Linked DNA regions of Caenorhabditis elegans. The protein of the gene in region 1 interacts with the protein of each later gene in a pairwise test. Each region holds a gene or a part of one and is shown on either strand. Other genes may lie near its edges.

The links. Proteins that work in one complex are often made in the same cells at the same time.
Region 2: the proteins of ubq-2 (region 1) and W05B5.1 interact in a two-hybrid assay, tested with the Caenorhabditis elegans proteins (one large-scale study listed by BioGRID).
Region 3: the proteins of ubq-2 (region 1) and prx-14 interact in a two-hybrid assay, tested with the Caenorhabditis elegans proteins (one large-scale study listed by BioGRID).

Annotation. Positions count from the first base shown.
Region 1 is NC_003281.10:12,976,360-12,982,518, reverse strand, and holds ubq-2 (Ubiquitin), read left to right. Parts: upstream 1-3,995; 5' UTR 3,996-3,997; coding exon 3,998-4,136; intron 4,137-4,213; coding exon 4,214-4,300; intron 4,301-4,349; coding exon 4,350-4,510; 3' UTR 4,511-4,556; downstream 4,557-6,159. Other genes in the region: dbd-14 (DB domain-containing protein), read right to left, coding at 14-244, 1,367-1,426; frg-1 (Protein FRG1 homolog), read right to left, coding at 2,407-2,652, 2,707-3,217, 3,277-3,344; ZK1010.2 (DUF155 domain-containing protein), read left to right, coding at 4,657-5,180, 5,762-6,142.
Region 2 is NC_003279.8:13,030,191-13,037,984, forward strand, and holds the start of W05B5.1 (uncharacterized protein), read left to right. Parts: upstream 1-3,434; coding exon 3,435-3,496; intron 3,497-5,081; exon of another isoform or gene 5,082-5,087; coding exon of another isoform or gene 5,088-5,134; intron 5,135-5,372; coding exon 5,373-5,456; intron 5,457-7,794.
Region 3 is NC_003282.8:11,179,452-11,186,170, forward strand, and holds prx-14 (Peroxisomal membrane protein PEX14), read left to right. Parts: upstream 1-3,680; 5' UTR 3,681-3,693; coding exon 3,694-3,950; intron 3,951-3,997; coding exon 3,998-4,280; intron 4,281-4,331; coding exon 4,332-4,568; 3' UTR 4,569-4,844; downstream 4,845-6,719. Other genes in the region: cpt-2 (Calponin-homology (CH) domain-containing protein), read left to right, coding at 194-360, 416-671, 947-1,080, 1,129-1,258, 1,310-1,469, 1,518-1,662, 1,709-1,785, 1,833-2,253 and 2 more; nuaf-3 (NADH dehydrogenase [ubiquinone] 1 alpha subcomplex assembly factor 3), read left to right, coding at 4,845-4,950, 5,531-5,687, 5,736-5,891, 5,937-6,000, 6,049-6,186, 6,237-6,350, 6,395-6,472.

The DNA of each region.
Region 1 (6,159 bases):
CTTCTTATCGTACCTTCAGCTTCGGTAATCCCACTGGACCACCAACTTCTCTCGAATTTTCCTTGGAATTTCCAGAGTCATCGATAAAGATTCCCTCGACTTTTTGTGTCACTGCACTTCTGGCGCGGTTCCTCGCACAACCGTACTGTCCACAAGAGTAGCCGGGTTGACATGACGATGGAGAGCATGAGACTGCCGGCGGAGCAGCACAGTATGATGAGCCACACACTCCGGATGATAAGCACTGAAAAGAGTTTCAGAAATTTTTAACGCAAATGTATAATATTTGCAAAATCTGTTATATTTTCTTTTCTATCCAAAATGAACATTTCTGTACAATTTGGCGCCTGTAGCAGTCACTATGACTGAGATCGTGACGAGACCCAAAATAGCGCGTGCCAGAATTTCGCGAAATTGTGATACCCACCAGAGATTTTTTTTTGTTGAAGAAATCGATTTTTTTTTGATGTGGAAATGTTTCGTGGCACACTCAATCTCGCCAGGAGCATAAGTTTTTCAAAAAATTTGGCGCGAAAAATTGTGTGCGCCTTTAAAAAAACTAGTAACCAATTTCCAAGTTTTCTTCGATTTTCCAAAATTTTCTCTGGATTTTAGGGAATTTTCGTGTATCACGGGAACACGAAATTCAATTTTTGCGTATTGCACAACACATTTGACGCGCAAAATGTCTCGTAGCGAAAACTACAGTAATTTTTTAAATGACTACTGTAGCGCTTGTGTCGATATACAGGCTCGGGTGGATTAAAATATTATTTTTTATCGATAAAATATTAAAATTAAGCTAAAAATGAGAAAATAATGCTGCGATTTCAAATATTAATTAATTTTAAAAAATCGAGCCCGTAAATCGACACAAGCGCTACAGTAGTCATTTAAGAAATTACTGTAGTTTTTGCTACGAAATATTTCGCGCGTCAAATATGTTGTGCAAGAAGAATTTTAAGAATTTTGTGTTCCCGTAATATTTCAGTGTAGTTTTTCAACAGAAAAAGATTTTTTAAGAAAAAAAAAAGAAAATGGGTTACTGTAATTCTTAAAGGCGCACACCTTTCTGTTCAAAAAATAAATTAAATGTCGCTCTGTACGAGACCCGGAATCGTAGTTTTAGTTGAAAAATTGCAATTTCAGCTTTAAAATAAATTTAAAAATATAAAAATAGGCTACTGTAATTCTTAAAAGCGCACACCGTTTTTGTTCAAAAATATATAAATATATATCGTTCTTTGCGAGACCTGGCAAATCGTAATTTTAGTTGAAAAATTGCAATTTCAGCTTCAAAATACCTTTTAAAAATCTAAAAATCATATTTTCGAGACCTATTTTTTTTTAATTTCCAAATACTCACAGCCTCGGTAACCACTGCACCGGCAACTAATACTAGAAAAATTGTAGTAGACTTTGCCATTTTTTTTTTCGGCAGAATTTGGTAAACTACAGTTCATATGCCTCCTCTTTTATACAACAACATCCGGTGAATTGACAGTGGAACCGGATTTCCATATGGAGTATAGGCGAAAGGAAGGTACGATTTCAAGGAAAAGAGTGGAGGGGAAGTACTTGAAGCTTGCATGCCATCCAAGGACGGCATATGGCCTTCATTAATCTCGTCTCGGAAGAGAAAACTTTGAAAAAGCGAGCTGAAGCTGAATTCAGTGGGAAAATTGCTTTGAAACGTCACAAAAAGTCACAAAATTGGGTCACAATGACCGAATATCATGATTAAAAAAAAAATCAAAAAAATGTTCTAGATTTTATATGATTTTTTGAAAATTAGAAAAATCTCAGTTTTCCCCCTAATTCCTATTTGAATTTCCGCCAATTGGATTTGTTCGATGGAGCGCGCTTGCATTATTTTAGTTAATTAATTTTTATTTATTCTCGTTATTTGACTGATTTCCTTCATTATTTGTGTATTTTTATCTAAAAAAAGAGAGAAAAATGCAAATCGTTCATTAAAAAATCACTGAAAATTGGTAAAACTTGTGTGAAAAATGCTAATTTCAGACTTGTTGTCGTCGGAACTCATAATTTTATAGTTTTACGCATTTTCAGTGATGTTTTAATGAACAATTTTCATTTATCTTGCATTTTTCTCTCTTTTTCCAATAAAAATACACAAGTAATAAAGGAAATCAGTCAAATAACGAGAATAAATAAGATTAAATTTTAAAAATAATGCAAGCGCGCCCCGTCGAACAAACTTAATTGGCGGTAATTCAAATAGTGAAAACTGAGATTTTTGGTGGCCCTATAAGAGCTCTTATAAGAGTATTTTAAAGCAATTTCCCCATTGACGATACTCCATCCTTAAACAAAAAAAGAAAGTAAAAGAATAATTATTAGAGAATTTATTGAATTTTACAGAACAAATACAAGTGAAGATTATTAACAATATCGATCAGATTTCATTTTCATCCGTCTGTCCAGCAGCAGCTCGTGTGCACTTCCGTCGGCCTGCGCTTTCTTAACTCCTTTCTTGTCCTTCACGTCAATCGCAATATGTCGGTTCTTGAGATCAACCTTCGAGTGCTGATACATCTTCACGTAGGCCGTCTCACACTCCCGAGCGTTTTTGCGGTCTTCCACAGATCTCCAATCGACTGGGCCTTCTTGTATAGCGTCTGTACGGATCTGGAAATTGAATTTAATCGGATTTTATCTATTTATATCTAAATTAGCACTTACATTAACCATTTCATTCTCCGTAGCGGTTCTACTAGCCACATAAATATGCCCCTCTTTATTTGGAACTGTAGAGAGGAAAAGTGGTGAGGAGACGGCTTGGAACGCGGTTTTTCCCTCCTGGAAAACCAACACGAATTGCTCGCGGGATCCAATAGCTTCAGCCATGGCAACCAATTGATATTCGCTGTCCACTCCAACATATCTTCCGAATCCTGTCTTCAAACTGATTTTACTATCGTCTGGAGTTTTGACGAGCGCGAAAATTTCCTCAGGATTCGGGCCTTCTCCCTCCGGATGTGGAAATCCAATTGTGAATTTTCCGTTGTCCATTGCAGCGACATAAGTTCGCGTTGAGCCGGCTCCACTGGCAACTTCGATGGCGACGTTGGTTCCTCCTTTCATATCGAATTCATCGGCAATTTTGCGCCAACCACCATTTTCGACGGTGTCTGGATCGATTTTCTCCTTGTCGTCTTTGTTCTTCTTCTTTTTCTCCTTTCCCACTTTGAATCTGCAACGAGTGAATTAATGGAGGATTTTATACACTTTAAACTTGAATATGTCACTTACAAATTCTTTTTTCCGGCTTTTAATTTCAATCCACCACCTTTTACAGCACTGTAGTCAGCGCCTGGCATTTTTTGAAGTTTTCTGCAATAAAAAACAAAATTTTCATCAATAAAACTGTAAATTTCATAACAAAACTCGAAGAAATCAATAAAAAAACGTTCGAAAAACGTTTGAAACAAAAAAATAATATTCGAATTCTTCTCCCCCTTCCCGTAAATCCTGCAGCTCTCTACCGTACTTTCGCCGTCTCTCAATTTCGCGGCGAGACCCATCACCACGGCAATCCTCCATTTGTGTCGCTGGGCCTAAATTTTTTCCGTTTTTTTGCTCGATTTTCGCCGTTTCTCTGCGAAATTTTTCCAAATTTCTGTTCAATTTAATCAAAATATTGTTCTGGACGCTTGTTCAGCATAGAAAGTGGAGATTCTGTTGTATTTTAAGCTTGGAAAACGAATTTATTATGAAATTTCATTTTTTTGCTAAATAATTTCTCTATTCTTGAATTTTTACAGCTTTTTAACGCAAAATATTCTTTCCTCTTTGTTCTAAATGGGTAGTTACACACATTATGCGGTCTATAACGTCTTTTGTCACCTTTGAAACTAGTCTCTAAAGAAAAATCAATAATTTTTGCCCCTACGCTCTCCTCCAAATGTTTCGCTCTCGCCGTCATTTTCTGACAATTTTACTCGGTTTCTTTTCAAATTATATAATTTCAGTCATGCAAATCTTCGTCAAGACTCTGACGGGTAAGACTATTACCCTCGAAGTCGAGGCTTCCGATACCATTGAGAATGTCAAGGCCAAGATCCAAGACAAGGAGGGAATCCCACCAGATCAGCAAAGATTGATCTTCGCCGGTACGTTATTATTCAGACCTGATATATTCTTGAATTAATTTCCGGGCAAAACACCCAATATAATTTTCTAATTTCAGGAAAGCAACTCGAGGATGGACGTACTCTCTCCGACTACAACATCCAAAAGGAGTCTACTCTCCACTTGGTGCTCCGTCTTCGTGGAGGTTAGTTTTTTTCTAATGTTCAGGCATTGAGAAATATTTCTAAATTCAGGAATCATCGAGCCATCTCTCCGTCAGCTCGCCCAGAAGTACAACTGCGACAAGCAGATCTGCAGAAAGTGCTATGCTCGTCTCCCACCACGTGCCAGCAACTGCAGAAAGAAGAAGTGCGGACACTCCAGCGAGCTCCGCATCAAGAAGAAGCTGAAGTAATCTTCACTCGTTCCAGTCCATGTGTTGGCAAATAAATCGTTAATTTTAATTGAATGTCGCTATTTGTGCAAAACGTAAATTTCGTAAATATTGGATTTTTGGAATGAGATTTGTACATGGTAACAAAGAATCATTATAAAATACAGATGCTCAAATCAATACTTCGGGGAGCTCTAGTAGCTACAAAGCCGGGTCCAGCCAGGCGCCAGTTCTCATTCACAGCACTTCTGCGGAGCGAGACCCAGCCCAAAGAGATAATTAATCTGGAACGGGTTCAAGTTAGAAAGATGAAGAAGAGACGCCCAGTTGCTTCATCGGTTGTTCCAAAATCCCTACGAGAACCTTCAGTCGTCGCCATGGCACTTTCAGAATCACTGAACCTCAATGAGGTCATCATGGATGCACAGCTCAATGGAATGTATAATATAACTGCAATCGACGAGGACGCGGATGACAGCTTGCACTTTGTCAAAAAACTGGAATATACCATCAATCCAGGCGAACTCAGTGAAATTTTCGTGTTTCGAGATGGAGTTGTCGTTTTTTGGAACGTTGATTCTAGTCAGCGATCGCATATTCTACGGGAGCTCGAACGATACGCAGATGCTCCATATGACTCGATGATTGTGATGGATGAGCAGGATAGAATGTTCTATAAATTTTCAGAGCAGTACGTTTTCTCTTGAAATCGTCAAATTTGCAAAAAAAAAACGGCGCCGCACAGAAATAGAGGCGGGCGTAATTTCGCAACCCTGTGGCACGGTTTTTACTTCTTTTTTTTTAAATTTGAGTTTTAGCCTCACAACCTTATGATAATCAAATTGGATAACATTTCATTCAAAAAAAGAAAGTAAGTAAAAACCGTGCCGCAGGGTTGCAAAATTACGCCCCGCCTCTTTTTCTGTGCGACACTGCTTTTTTGTTGCAAAATTCACTTTTTTTGTTCAAAAAAGAAAATTTAGATAATTTTCTCCAATAGAAGCTTCAAAATTAGGAAAAACTCGACAAAAATTCAAAAATTTACAATTTTTTATTAATATAAGCGAAATTTGCAAAACAAAACGGCGCCGCACAGATATAGAGGCGGGGCGTCATTTTGCAACCCTGCGGCATGGTTTTTCCTCTTTTTTTTTTGCAAAATTTGCAATTTTTAACTCAAAAAAAAAAGAAAAATAAAATGACATTTTCCAGCAGAAACTTTAAAATTAAGAAAAACTCAAAAGTATTAAAAAAGAAAATTATTATTTCCAGGTCTACAGGATCCACCATTCGTCAAGATCGTTTCTACCTCTCGGGAAAACATTTGGACGCCTTCCACGGCTCGAACGAAGCAATTTTAGAGCGATTTGCACTCAGTCAGGGATTCGCTGCTTCCGTGAAAATCGGAGTCTGGGAAAGTCTTCTAAACAATCTTGCGGAGCCACTCTCCAACACTACAAAATCGCTAACTCTGGGAAAGATTCCGTGGAGCCGGAAGCAGGCTCTCATGAGATCCGGAGAATTCGCAGCTCTTCGACACTCGATTAATCTTGATTGTACCCTGTTGAATAAGGATTTCTATTGGGAACGACCTGAATTGGAGAAATATTATACGATGACGGGACGCCATTTCTCACTAGACAGACGGATAGGGTTAGGAATCTGAAAAA
Region 2 (7,794 bases), on another chromosome or scaffold:
AGGGAAGATCTACGTTAAATCTGACCCAGACGCTTCCCAAGATTAAAAAAAGAAGTGCGCTTTAATTAAAGGGATGTCTGTCACTTCAACGCATCCTCTCTATCTCTCTGCGTCTCTCTATGCCTATTTTACCCCAAAATCCCCCACCCCCTCTCTTCTCTCATGTTGTCATATTTATGTGTATATATATAGTTGAATATATGTACTACTAGCACATACTTGTCATATTATTCAAAAGAGTGAGAGAGAGCTATCGAGAGTTTCCGAATCTCATATCAGTCTCGTATCAAGTCGTCTCTCGGCGTCTCTATATCTCTGGTTGCCTAGTTACCAAAAACTTTGCTTCCTTCCTTTTTAGTACGTCTTTCACAAATTCAGTGTAGTTTGTAGTGATAAACTAGTAAAACTAGTAAAGCTACAAACTACACTGCTCATCTAAACCTCAGCCGAAGACCTTAAACTTTAAATTTGTTAAGTTTTAGCCAAGATTAATGCTTTTCAACATTGCTTCTATTATATCGGTGAGGCTAGCAGGCTACTCACTACAAAAGTTTCTTAGCTTCAACTAACATTGTAGTTTATAGTCTAGGGCTGAACTATATCTATTTATGAAGTTTTGAACCTAGCTGAGAATATTTTCTCAGACTTCAAGAATCGTTTCAAATAAAGAGACTAAAACTGTGATACCAAATAATAAAAATTATAGTTTGTAGTTTTAGTGAGGCTAGCTTACTACAAACTACACAATTTTTCACCGAATGCACTTTTAGCCGCACCAGGTCGCCTGGAAACCGCCTTAAAAGCCATAAGACAGACGAAAAAAAGTTTTTAGTTTTCTTTATTCCCTGCCGTCCATTTTTTGTCGTCGTCCTTTGTGTTTGTGTTTCTTTTCTGCCCCTTTTCCATTCCAAAACGACCTCCCCCCACTTCCATCCATCTTTCCTCTTTTGGCATTTTTCCAATTTTTTCGGCTGTTAGTTTTTACTGATTTCCTTTTTTTCTTTGTCTGTTTCTTATCAGTTATCGATATTTTGTTATCTTTTTTTTCGAAACTTCCTAACTTTTTATTTATTTAAAAATCAATTATTAGAAATTAACAACTAAATATTGCTAGCATTTTAAACTACCACTCTTCTGAAAAGTCTAGCTTTTGCCTTGCACCCACCGGGGACCTGATTCGACTCCCGGCTAGCGGAAATTGAAAATTATTTTTTTAAAATACCAAGTTTCATAGTTTTATTCAAAATTTATAGACCCTTTAAACCAGTTTCCGATTCCTTTTTATATTTACCCTCAATTTACTCTCGATAACCTTCTCGAATTGTTGACACAATCATGACAGTAATCCGTGACGTGTTAGGTCGCCTCAACCTCCGCCTAACCGTCTAAATCTCTTCACGCGGCGGCGATGTCTCGTCGAAATTCACATTTTCGCGAAAATTTCGGAACAAACATTGACGGGCAGTGGGAGAAGGTGGAGAAAATGCGATCACACAGTTTTCTGGGAAAGTTCGGCGAGTCCCATATCTTTCTGAAAATTCTTTTTTCCTTCTCTGACCAGCTACACCCACAAAATGGCTACCGGGTAAGCCCCACCCATATTAGAGGCGTGTCTGCCCTCACCCATCGCCTAACATTTTAACATTTTTAAAATGTTTTCAAACGTTTTGGCAGGCCACATCTCCGTTCATTTTAAAGATATCAAAACTTTTTAAACTAACGAAATATTTATTGTGTGTTTTTCTATATTTCAATAGTAACAAAGTTTTGATAAACCAAAAAACAATTGAGATATGAGCTCTCATAATCATTACTTACTATAAGTATCTGCCAGACTTTGGCGGCGTATTTCAGGGTGGATATTGCACATATCAAAAAGTCTTTAACTGATAAAATATTCATTATATAATTTACTATAATTTTGTAATTGACACCATTTTTTTATGTACGAATCCCATCGAGATACAAGCTTCCAAAGTTAAGTGGAACATGGTGCATCGTCACCTTTACTTTGGAGGCTCAAATCTTAATTTAGCTTAACGATATACACACATTTTTCATTCTTAACAAATAGAAAATTACTTGACGAATGTTTTGTTAGTTTAAATTTTTTTGATAAACTCATAGACAACCGAGATAAACACCAACAAAGCTGAGAATGACATGGTGCATCGAAGGTTCGAACCCTCAAACTTTGTCAGCGTGTATCTCAGTTCATATTGAAAATATAAACACACTTTTCACAATAAATACATTTAAAATTTTTCCTGTATCTTGGTTCTTATTTAAATTATTGACTTTTTTTAACTGCAAAACTATATAAAAATACATGCAAAACATTGTTAAATACCATACGTTTCCAAATCCAACCCTACCAAACTTCCACTTCAATCACTGATATTCATCAATTGATACCGTTCCAATATCCCTCCCTAATCTAAATCCTAATCTGTCTGCCCCTTCAGTGATGACCCGCCTATCTAATCCGAATGTGTTCTACATCTCATTCCATCTTCTTCTACTTCTTATTTCTTCTTTTCATATATATCTATATATTTGAGAGAGTGTTCCGAAAATCGTAAAATGTGTCGTCTTTTTCTCTCACTCTTCACATTTCTCAACACATTTTCTTTATTTTTTTTTGTCTTGCCACAGCTGTCAAGTTCATGACTCTTTTGATTTTCACCCATTTTTTTTAACGGGTTCATGGGTTTACAGCTGTTTCCTATAGGATGTTTTGGACAAACCGACACATATACAGGCATGAAAGTTATCTTTGTTATCTCCGACACCTATATATTTATTATTGCATATCGCACCTCGTTTAGTATACTTTTATTGCCTTCCTGTTTGATTTTATAATTAAAAATGTGTTTTTGCCAGAACAATCTGATGAAAACCCGAGAAAAATGCCAGAAACCCACGGTTCAAGCTAGCAAAGTTTTGTACTTTTAAACTACAAACTAATTGTGAGAGAGTTAAAAAATGGCTAAGGCTAAGGCTCAGGCCGGGGCTCAGGGTAAGACTCGGGCGTAGGCTTAGGCTCAGGCTTAAGCTTAGGCTTAGTCTCATGCTCATGCTTAGGCTTAGGCCTTGAGCTTAGCTTGGGTCTTGGGCCTAAGTATAGGATAAGGCTCAGGCTTAGGCCTAGGCTGAGTCTGTAATTCCTCAAAATCCCCCATTTTTCCATAACTTTTCGCCCTTCGACCTCAATTTATTTGCTCATTGCTCTCTTTTCCCTCCATGCTGCTAGGAACTCTCTCCAACACATTAATTTAATGCTCATTTTTCCAGAAAACCAAGAGAGAAAAAGAGCCTTCATCAATTGTTGTGCTCAAAAACATCTGGTGGCAGCCATCGTCTTTCTGTCTCGATTGGACAAGGATTCTACTATAACAAAACACAGCAAAAGGCGCGACACGACACCCGATTCTATGGCTTCAGTTGCCATCTCGTCGCCCCCGCTATCGCCACTTGGAAATAATAAGGATAAACGGTAAGGATTTCGTTTTATTTTGAGCAAATTTGATGGAAAATAGAAAAAAATGGGAAAAAACGACCCAAAATCGGGAGAAAAATCAATGAAGGTTTTGGCTTAGACAGGCTCAGGGCTAGGACTGGGCTGAGGCTTAGGCTTATAGTGGGCTTAGGCTTAGGCTTACGATTGGGCCTAGGCTTAAGCTTAGGCTTTGACTTAGGCTTAGGCCTACATCACTGAAGTTTTAGCATTAACATATGTACTTCTATCAAACGTGGCTTTTTAAAAGTGGATTTATACAAAATATTTAAAAGATTTGCATAACCTTCATATCTTTTAGTATAAAACATTCCCAAATGCGGATGAAAACAAAATAACGGAACACCTCTTTCACTCTCTCCAACCAACACATTTTGATGATCAAATCGTAACAAAAAAAAAGTGAACGCGCGTCCATCAATTCAGTCACCTTCTTGTGTTGGCTGTAAAGTCAAATAGTTTTTTCTCTTTTTTGATGTCTTCTTTATACTGTACAGTTGGTTGAGTCTAAGGGAACTTTGTAGTTGATGCCACCAACTTGGTGGTAAGCTTGAGGTCTACCGGAAATTAAATTTTGAATCTAAAATATTGTTTTTCTTATTGTTAAAAAAACACCAGCACTGAAATTTAAACCAAAGCGCAGAACATATACAGGAACTTATGCAGATATATCTTGATAGTTTGTAGTTTGTAGCTGAGTTCTGAATAAAAATTATTTTCTCTGAAACTCATATCTGTTCTGCAAATGTTTCTACCTTTAATCGGACTTTGCTCCCAAAAAACGCCCAGCACCTAGCACGCAGGTGATTTAACACAGAAAATCCAATTAACAATCTCATATTTTCCGGGAATTTTTCGCCGTATCAGATTAGAAGCTTTTGCCTTTTAGAGTTAGCCAGTTGGTTAAGGCTGTAGAAATTTTGGAAGGCTCTGATCTTTAAACCAACTTATGAACCCACCTACTTTCTAGGTAGCCTAGATTTTTTTAAAAAGTTAGGCCACCACAAAACTTTCTTTGGCCTAGCTGATTAAAACTCTGAAACATCCCTAATCCTACAATGCCTACAAAGATTTCCCATGCTTATACAATGAAGCACCCAAAAATTAGTACCGATTTCTCCTTTTACCTGCTGCGTCTATTTGCCCATCTACATCTTAATTTCGCGCACTTGACAAGCCTCAACCAGCCCACCACAGGCAGGCCCTACCTGAATTCAAGGTCAAAATCATCATCATTTCCTTTTTCATTCGGAATCTCTCCCCTCTATAATTGCCATGCATACTTCATTTTTATATTTATATACATATACACAGATTTACCTCATCGGTGTTCCCATTTATAGGTCTAGTGACTACAAACTACAATTGTCGTTAAGCCTCAACCAAGCCTGACCACCAGTTTGTAGTTTGTAGTCTACCTGAGTTTTTAGAGCACCTCTTTAATGTAATTTCTTTAGATTTTTAATTTCTAGTTTGTATATTTGACTTTTTTCTTCATAACACTAATATAATTTCTGGCTCCAAACAGCAAATTTATTATTGTTTAAGCTTCTTACTTTTAGAATATCGAATGAGGAGTATTCTCAAACATTTTGGACTCGGAAAACGCAAGAAAACGTGAGGAATTAAGGTTTATGGGTTACCGGGGAATTCAGATACCTCTTAATGAATATGAAATGTGACAGATTTGGAATTTTTAACATGTCAAGTACAAGTGTATTGTAAAAATACAAATTCGAGATGTTTTACACTAGCAAAGTTTTAGATTTTTAACTAAAATTAATTACGCTACAACAGTTTACCAAAATTAAAATGAATACTATAATTTTTTTAACTTCAATCATATTTTTTGCAGAGTATCATTCGGCGATGATCACACATTTGTATACGAGAAGGAGGACGATGCGACGCCGTTAGTGCCAAGGCAGCCGTTTACCGAGTTAGTTTATTTTAATTTTTTGAAAAAAACTTCAAAAAGAACTGATTTTAATATTTAAAACCCTTTTAACTAGAAACTTTCTGGTTGAAGCTAAGCATGTACCAGTGTTGTCACAGATTTTTTAAAACTTGGAATTGGGCAAACTTTTTTTTCAAATTCAAATATTAATGGATGATATTAAAAATATTAAACGTATGCAACTACACAAACCTACCGTACCACTAATCGTATTTCGGATTTTCGTTTTTGGAGCAAATGGTGGAATTTTTGTCGACATATTCGGCAAATCGGCAAATCGCCGGTTTGCTGATTTGCCGGAAATTTGCCGGTTTGCCGTTTGCCGAACATCAATTTGCCGGAAGTTTTTAGAGGGACTTTGTATAATACGGAAACACCTACAACTGTCCCTTTTTGAATTTTTTTTCCCGTTTTTTCTAGATACTTTCATAGAATCTGCTTACTTTTTGGAATAGATGTAGGAAATTTTGCCAAACCAAATTGAAATTCTGAAATTTCTAAAAAAAGGGCAAAACCACAATTTGTCGAAAATTTTCGGCAATTGCCGTTGTTCCTGCAATGTGCCAATTTGCCAAAAGTTTCAATTCCGACAATTTGCCGATTTGCCAGAAATTCCTATTCCGGCAATTTGCCGATTTGCCGACTTGCCGGAAAAATCGTTTTTCGCCCACCCTTCTACTGTATTTCATTTCTCTAAAAGCTATGGTCATGAAATTGGTTGAGGCTAAGCTAGGATTGCAGTTTTTAGTTAATTAAATACTTATAAATATTTATTGAAAACTTACCGTATTCCTAGTTTAGTATTGCTCCTTTACGATAGTTGTAGTTTGTAGTGACTCTCAGCTGTTGCTCTTTCTTTCCCATTGTTAATTTTTTCTTTTTTGTTGTTACGAATCAGTGTCAGTTTAAGAAGTCTTGTTATCAACCCGTTTTTGCCACACACAACCCACCCAGAGATACCGGGAACAAGAGAGACATAGAGATGAAAAGACGGAAAACCGAGAGCGTGTATTTCTCTGCGTCTCTCTAGGTTTAACGTATCTCTCTGCCAACCGGGCTGTGCTCTTTGAGAGGAGCTTCCCGACAAGTGAGAGAGAGAGTGAAGCTTTGGCTCAGTGAGCTTTGCCCAACACAGATCCGCGCCCGGCGCAGTTTTGAGTTCTCCCCCACCCCCATTCACTTACTCGTTTTGTGCTCTTTTTTGTAGAGCAAACTGTTGTTTCATTTCAATTGCCGATTTCGATGACTAAGTGAGTTTTTCCAGAATTAAAATTTTAGAGGGTTACTGTATTCAAAACAAAAGTTTTCAAAAATCCCAAAAATTTTTTTCTCAAAAACAACAAAATTAATTCAAATTTTTTAAAAATTGATTCTTTTATGCTAATATAGCATTTAATTAGTAAAGTTTTATCTTGTAAATGACTGAAAAAATCAAGATTCCAAAATTCGGAATTTTTCCAACTACTGTAACTTTTCCATTTTCTGGGATTTTTGGCTCATTTTTTTTTAATTGTAAAAAAAAATTCAAAAAAATTTTAAAAATTTGAAAAAAAAAGATTTTGAATTTTCGAAATTATTTTTCAAACTACTGTAACTTTGTCCATTTTTGAGATTTTTGGCTAAATTTTAGTGCAAATTGTACAAAAAAATTTGAGTTTTATATAGTTATTAAAAAACTTATAACGAAACTGAAATTTTGGCGCAATTAAAAATTTTTTTTTTGAAAATTAGTGTTTTTTTCCAAAATTTTTTTAAGCTTCTTGGCTCAATTTTTGTTAAGATGTATATCGAAAATTGGTTAAAAACTGTGTGTAATTATAGAAAATATGACAAATTTCTAAGGATTTTTCAGTGTTTTTAAAAATTGAAAATTTTAAAAATTGTCCCAAAAAAACAGAAACAACTTTCTTTTTTTATTTTCACTTTTTCAAATGATGCCATATTTCCCAAACATGTTATCATACTGAGCTGTTTTTCAAAAACTTTTCAAAAAGTTCCAAAAAACTGCTAAACCAAAGCCCAAACTTGTTTACCCGAACAAAAGAGATCCTTTGCGTGTTTTCCGGGGGTAGATTCTTTCCGTTTTCAATGGTCCCAACTCCCGAAAATTCAAAACAACAAACATACACACACACTGTTAAAAAACAAGTCATATTTGAGCCGCCCATGTTTCATTTTTTGCTTATTTATGTCTTCAAGCTTCGACAATTTGTGTGTCTATTGAGAAGAAGAAAGACGTCAAAGTTCGGTTTCTCATGGGAATAGTCAAATAGTGTGGGAGACAACAAAATAGTGGAAAAATAATATCACTTTTTATATA
Region 3 (6,719 bases), on another chromosome or scaffold:
AAGTCCATTATTCAGCACGTTGTTGTCCGTTATCTCACTCGTTTTTCGCATCATTTGTGTCTTGCTATCGAATGGCGAGCGGTTTTTCCGATACTTTGTATCTAGAACACTCATTTTTAAGCAATAAATGTATTCACTCTTCTAGTTTTCTAAATTAAATTCATGTTTTTATTTTTATTCTCTCAATTTTCAGATGCTTCGTTCCTCAAACTTGTGTCGATCAATTACAGCTTCTCGTGGAAAGCATGCTTTGACCGGAGACGACTATCAATATCTGGAAAAATCAGAAATTCCATCGTATCACTTCCAGAAGTCGCTGAGAAGACTGCCTATCCCAAAGCTTCCAGATACGGTAAATCGGTGAGCATTCTGTAACTAAACTGAACATTGATAATTATTCATCATATTTTTACAGCTACCTTGCTTCTTCTAAAGCAGTGCTCTCTCCGGATGTTTTTGCAAAAACTGAAGCCACCATTCGCAGTTTTGAAGCCAATGAAGGTCCAAAACTTCAAGAAGCGCTTCTAGAATACGACAAGGCTCATAGGGACACCAGTTACATTTCTGAGCCATGGTTTGATATGTATCTAAGAGCCAGAGTTCCAGTTGCTGTGAATTACAACCCATTTATGATGTATGCTCCAGATCCAAATCCGAAATTCAATGATCAGGTAAAATACGTTTCAGAGAAATAATGTTTTTGAGTAGTTTTTTTTCTGAATTTGAATTGATTTATTTTTGTACTTTGTATACTCGTTCTATTTATGACTTACCTTCTCTGTAGTCTCTTCTCCGTAGTCCACAAATTGTTCGAGTACACTACGAGATGAAAGATACGAGGGAGAAAAGGGGAAGGGTACAGTGTAGCTTTGATGAAACCTCTTTCTTTTCTTAATGAACAAATTTAAAGTTCTACCGATTGTTCTTAAGACCATTATTATTTCAGCTAACTCGCGCCACGAATCTCGCCATTTCCTATGCTAGAATCAAGCGATCCCTCGATGAGAACCTCTTGGGGCCAGAGGTTTTCCATATGAACCCGAAAAAGAGCGATACAAAATTATTCAGAACCGTTTGCAAGTAAGTCTCAATTATTAATTGAAATTGAAAGCCACCGCTTGTTTTCAGAACTCTTCCACCAAGTCTCTCATGGTTCGGTGCAGTTGCATTCAAAGCTTTCCCACTTGACATGTCACAGTATAAATCTTTATTCTGCGGATCGCGAATTCCAAAGAAAGAAAAGGATATGCTGTATTTGGTAAGTTTTAATAATTGAAACATTAAAATCTACTATCTCGAATATTTCTAGGATGCCTCTCAAAAGCATTTCGTTGCGTTCTACAAAGGTCATCCATACGCAGTTCGTATCTTTGACGATGATGGTAAACTCCTTGATGCTGAAGACGTTCATGCATCTCTCGCTTGGATTTTGAGTAATGGAAAGGAAGCGGCACCAGAGAGCAGTATTGGTAAGCGTTCTTGTAGATTTATAATGGTGCTAAAATATAAAAACCTAGGATCCCTAACGTCGTTGGATCGTGACTCGTGGGCTGAAGCTCGAGTGGAACTCGAAAACGCAGGAAATGGAGAATATTTGAAGAAAATTGATGGTGGACTTTTCGCAATTTGTCTTGATGACCTCAAAACTGAAGAACATAAAAGGTAATTTTAATGAAATAATTTTCAAACCAAAGTTTTGAATTCTCAGACTCGTCCAATCTCTTCTCATCGGAGATGATGCTCGTAATCGTTGGTTTGACAAGTGCTTCCAGACTATCATCGATGGTAATTTTCACAGAACTTTATTAAAAATCATATTTTTTCAATTTTAGCCAACGGTCAAGCCACAATCAACTTTGAACACTCGTGGGGAGATGGAGTTGCCGTGCTTCGTTTAATGGAAGAATCATTCAAGGATACCAACAAAAATCATTTTGTATCTCCAGACGACACTCCAAAATCTCATAATCCAGCACATGTGCAGGCACTCGAATTCAAGCTCACGGATTCTCTCAAATCTAAAATCAGTGATGCTCAGAAGAAACACGTCTCTGCAAATTCTGATCTTGATTTTGCGACAATGGAATTCGAAGGACTCAACAGAGATTTGATCAAGAAAACTAAATTGTCACCGGATTCTGTGATGCAGCTTGCTATTCAAATGGCATTCTATTCTTTGTACAAAGAGTTTGTTCCAACGTATGAGTCATGTTCCACTGCTGCTTTCTTGAAGGGAAGAACTGAATGCATGAGGTAAGCTTATTCCTCAGAATTAAAATATCAAGTTTCAAAACTCAATTTTCATATCGGCAACATCAGCTACGCGTGCCGCCACCTTGGCTATTCTTGAAGAAAATCGTAAAGATGTTCGACAACTATTGACTGATTGCTCCACACAACATTTCCAACTTGTAAAAGAAGCATCAATGGGACAAGGATATGATCGACATTTGCTCGGCCTCAAAATCACAGCTCAACGATTGAGCCAACCAACTCCAGATTTCTTCCAAGATCCAGGATACACGAGAATGGGTCATTTTGTACTTTCAACGAGCACTTTGTCAACGGATACGATTGTCTTCGGAGGATTCGGACCAGTTGTGCAAGATGGATTCGGTATTGGATACAACGTTGTTCCCAACAAACTCGGAGCCGTTATTTCGAGCAATAAGGTTCGTGATTTCTCTATTACCCAGACGCTAAATTTTATACTTTTTGCGTCAAAATTACGGTAGTGGTCTCGACGCGACCTTTTTTTTGTTGCTAAATCCAAACTTTCGTTGCTTCGGAATTTTTTAATCATTTTTTCGATAAGAAATATATGTATATTTAAAAAAAATAAAGCAAAAAAACTGAAAAAAAAAACCAATAAAAACAACAATATGTTGCAACATTGAACACATCGTAAGAAACAAAGAAAAAGTCAATTAAAATTCCAAAGCCTAAGAGCTTTAAAGGCGCACAGCTTTTCGCATTTAATAAAAAAAACTATCTTGTTGATACCCGAAAAATTGTCTAATTTTTTTTTGAAAAAAAAATTAGTCAAAAAATAGAAATATTTAGAAGTTTTTTAAAAGTATATGGAAAAAAAAGAAACTTTTTTAAGAATATAAATATTATCAGATATTATATAAAAATCGAAATAAAACTAAACATCAATAAATTGAGATTAGAAAAATCTTGTTCAGGTACCGTATTTTTGACAAAAAAAACTCGAAAATTTCAGGTTATTATCTTATCTCTTAGAATTTGAAAACATCTTATCTTTATAAAATTTTCAGTCGAAACGTGACGCTGCCGCCTTCTCGAATGCTCTTTACAAGAGTTTGGACATTCTTCGTGGTCACCTTCTCGATCCGAAATAATTGTTTGATGACATTTATGTATTTATAGTGTAAACTACTTATTTATATTCATTTTTCTGTATTTTAGGGTAATTTTTCCTCGCGGTTTCTGCCAGATTTTAACCTAACGAGTATTTTCAGTTTCAAAAAATTCTTGCTTTCACATTGTAAATGTTAATTTTTGTGATAAATTTTTATCAATCGGGAAATCAATGTTTGATTATTTGATTATTCATTGATGGTTTTGTTATCGGTTCAAACCTTTTATTATCGATTTTCACTCATTTTTTAGATTATTCAATTTATTGCCATATGTATTATACTTTTATTTTAAAGCTTCAGGTTGAAAATGACTGACCCATCTAGTTCCCCGATTCGACCGGACATGGTAGAAGCAGCAAGAAAGTTTATGCTAACTCCAAAAGTTAAAGAGACTCCATTTGAAGAACAACGACAGTTTTTATTAGGAAAAGGAGTCAGTGAGGCTGAAATCTTGGAAGCACGAGCATCTATTCCGCCGGAGCAGTTGAGAAGTCAAATTGGAACAGAGAATATGATTCCAATAGGAGGTCATCCGCAAATGATGATTGCTCCAAAACAGAATGGGTTTGTAAATGAAATTATTGATTTCAAAATATCACCGCAAATTTCAGAATAGTATCATTTGCACAATCAGCTGTGGTACTTGGATCGATTTCATATGCTGGATATCGATTCGTCCGATCATATGTTCTGCCCAGATTCTTCGATATTCCTGATCCAGCAACAGAGGAAATTCGTCAACTGCAATCACAAGTCGACGATCTTCAGAATTCAATAAAATTCATAATGGATTCTGTTTCGCAAACAACACAACAGCTTGCAACACAACAATCAGAAATTTCAAGAGCCCTCTACTCAGTTGCTAACAGAGATGCTGATTTGAATCGGGTTGAGGTGAATTCTAGAAGATGGTTTTTGTAATGCTAATATTTCAATAATTTTCAGAGCGGAATTTCCACGATAAAAAGTTTACTTCTCAGTCAACATAATTTTGCTCCAATCGTAACACCTAGTGTTACTTCATCAATTCCATCATGGCAGCAGAGTGCAACTCCAACTTCTGCAACATCAATCACCACAACTACAACTTCTGAAGCAGCTTCCGGATATGCAACTCCTCCAGCCAATTTCAAAGAATCGTCATTAGCTGACGAGTTGGCAGATATTGAAAATATTGAATAGAATTTCAGAAATCTATGTAAATATATAATTAAATTAATCATTTTTAATGCACTCCTCGAAAGCCATTCCCTTTTTCTGTGATTTCTCATCAATTCACTGTGCCTTTTCATTTTTCATGTGCCACATTCCAAAGATTGTTAATTTCATCTGTGATATTACGAAAGAAAATCATATCGACATCTGAACGTTTCATTTCACAAAATGGTTGAGAAACCAGATATAAATTATCAGAATAAAAATGTGTTGCATGAAATAAACATTTGTTATTTAGGCATAATGAACAAATCGTTGATTGCTCTCGGAGCACAGACAGCTCGTCGATTTCTGAGCAGTTCATCAAAAAATACGATAGGAGGAGGAGATGCGAATCGGGCAGACACTGGTAATTTTAGGTTTTTTGACTAATAAAAAATGTATTTATTTAGCATCCGTTACTTTTCGTTTATTCCGTTTTGGATTCGGCAAAAATTTGTAAACACTCGATTTCTGATATTTTTCCAATTCATCAAACCTGCAGTCACGAAGCTATTTATACGGTACTCGGTCTCGACACGAAAACTTTTTTTAATGCAAAAAAGTACACTCCTTTAAATAATGAGTGCTGTAAATTCCCACTCTCATTTCTAAGAATTTTATTCCATTTTTCGTAGGTTTTCTCAAGATTTGTTAAAATTTATGTGTTTTTATTGTAAAATTTAAGTTTTTCATAAATTAATGTGTATATCTTTATAGAAAAACTATGAAAAATTGATAAAAATTCAACATCATGATGATCAACGAAAGTTTGAAACTACAGTAATCTTTAAAGGTGCACACCCTCTTGCACTCAACAAGAATTTGCCGTGTCGAGACCGGTAAGAATCGCAAAGTTTCGTGTATGGGTAATACCACTAGCTACAATTTTATTATTCATTATAAATTGAAAAAAATAGTTCTAAAAAACAATATATTTAACTTGACAGGTGTACTCGATGGTTATCATATAAATCCACTTGAAGAGTCTGACATGACAGATCGTAGTCGAATTTCAATGTTATCTACGGAAATGCTCGAAGCAAAACAAATTGGAGTTCGTGGACTTTCATGCTATGGATTTCGACTTCTCGATGGAACATTTTTGTGAGTTCTCAAAATTGAGAGTTTTTGCTTTCAAAAATAACTTTTCAGATATGGCCCAATCGCCTTGTTTCCAAAGACGGCTCTTTCGTGGCGTGTTCCAACTCCAGAAGACATCACTCCACGATCACTTGCTCTTTTTGCTGCTCTTGAACCAAAAATTGACATTCTTGTGTTAGGAGTTGGGGATAAAAAGAATATTGACAAGTATGAGCTAGAAAAAATATTTTTATTTAAAAAACAATTTTTCAGAGTTCGAGCCAGTGTAGCACCATTCCTTCGTGAACATAAAATTGGATTAGAGATTATGGATACTGTAATTTTACAATTTTGCTAACGTTTTCACAATTAATTTCTCTTTCAGGAGGACGCGATCGCAACATTCAATTTTCTGAATGCCGAGGGGCGATATGTAGGAGCTGCTCTTTATCCTCCAGATGATATGGTTGTTACTGATAAGGAATACGGTAGAGCTCTGGCTCTTTTGAAAGGATGGGACACGGTTGGCTACTCAAAAGCCCGGATATTTTTTATTTCAAAATGTGTTTTCAGGTTGAAGAAAATCCATTGCTCACTGGTCTTTCTGATACAATAAACGGGGCTGAGGATTTGGTTAAGCGATTGTGGAGTGGAGATGAAAAGAGTTGGCAATCAGCAAGACAAAAAGTATGATCAAACTGAATGGATCTATAAATCTATTTTAATTTCAGGTACTTGAGTCACCATCTGAACGAGAAGAACGAATGCAACAAGAAATGAATGATAAAGAAAAGAAACGAATTGAATAATATTGGAATTTGTTTTTTTTTTTTAGAAATCTTAGCAACTATATTTCGTTTTTGTTGATTTTATTAAATAAAAATATAAAATTTATGAATCGAATCTTCCTGGAATTCAGAAAATCAAAGCCAGCACATTTCGAAATTTCTAGTTTCTACCGTAAGGATGACCGAAAGCTCAAATAAAAAATCATGTTTCCGAGATCGTCCTTGAGAAATAGTTCTCTCTTTTTCGAAAACACATATGTTGTCACTA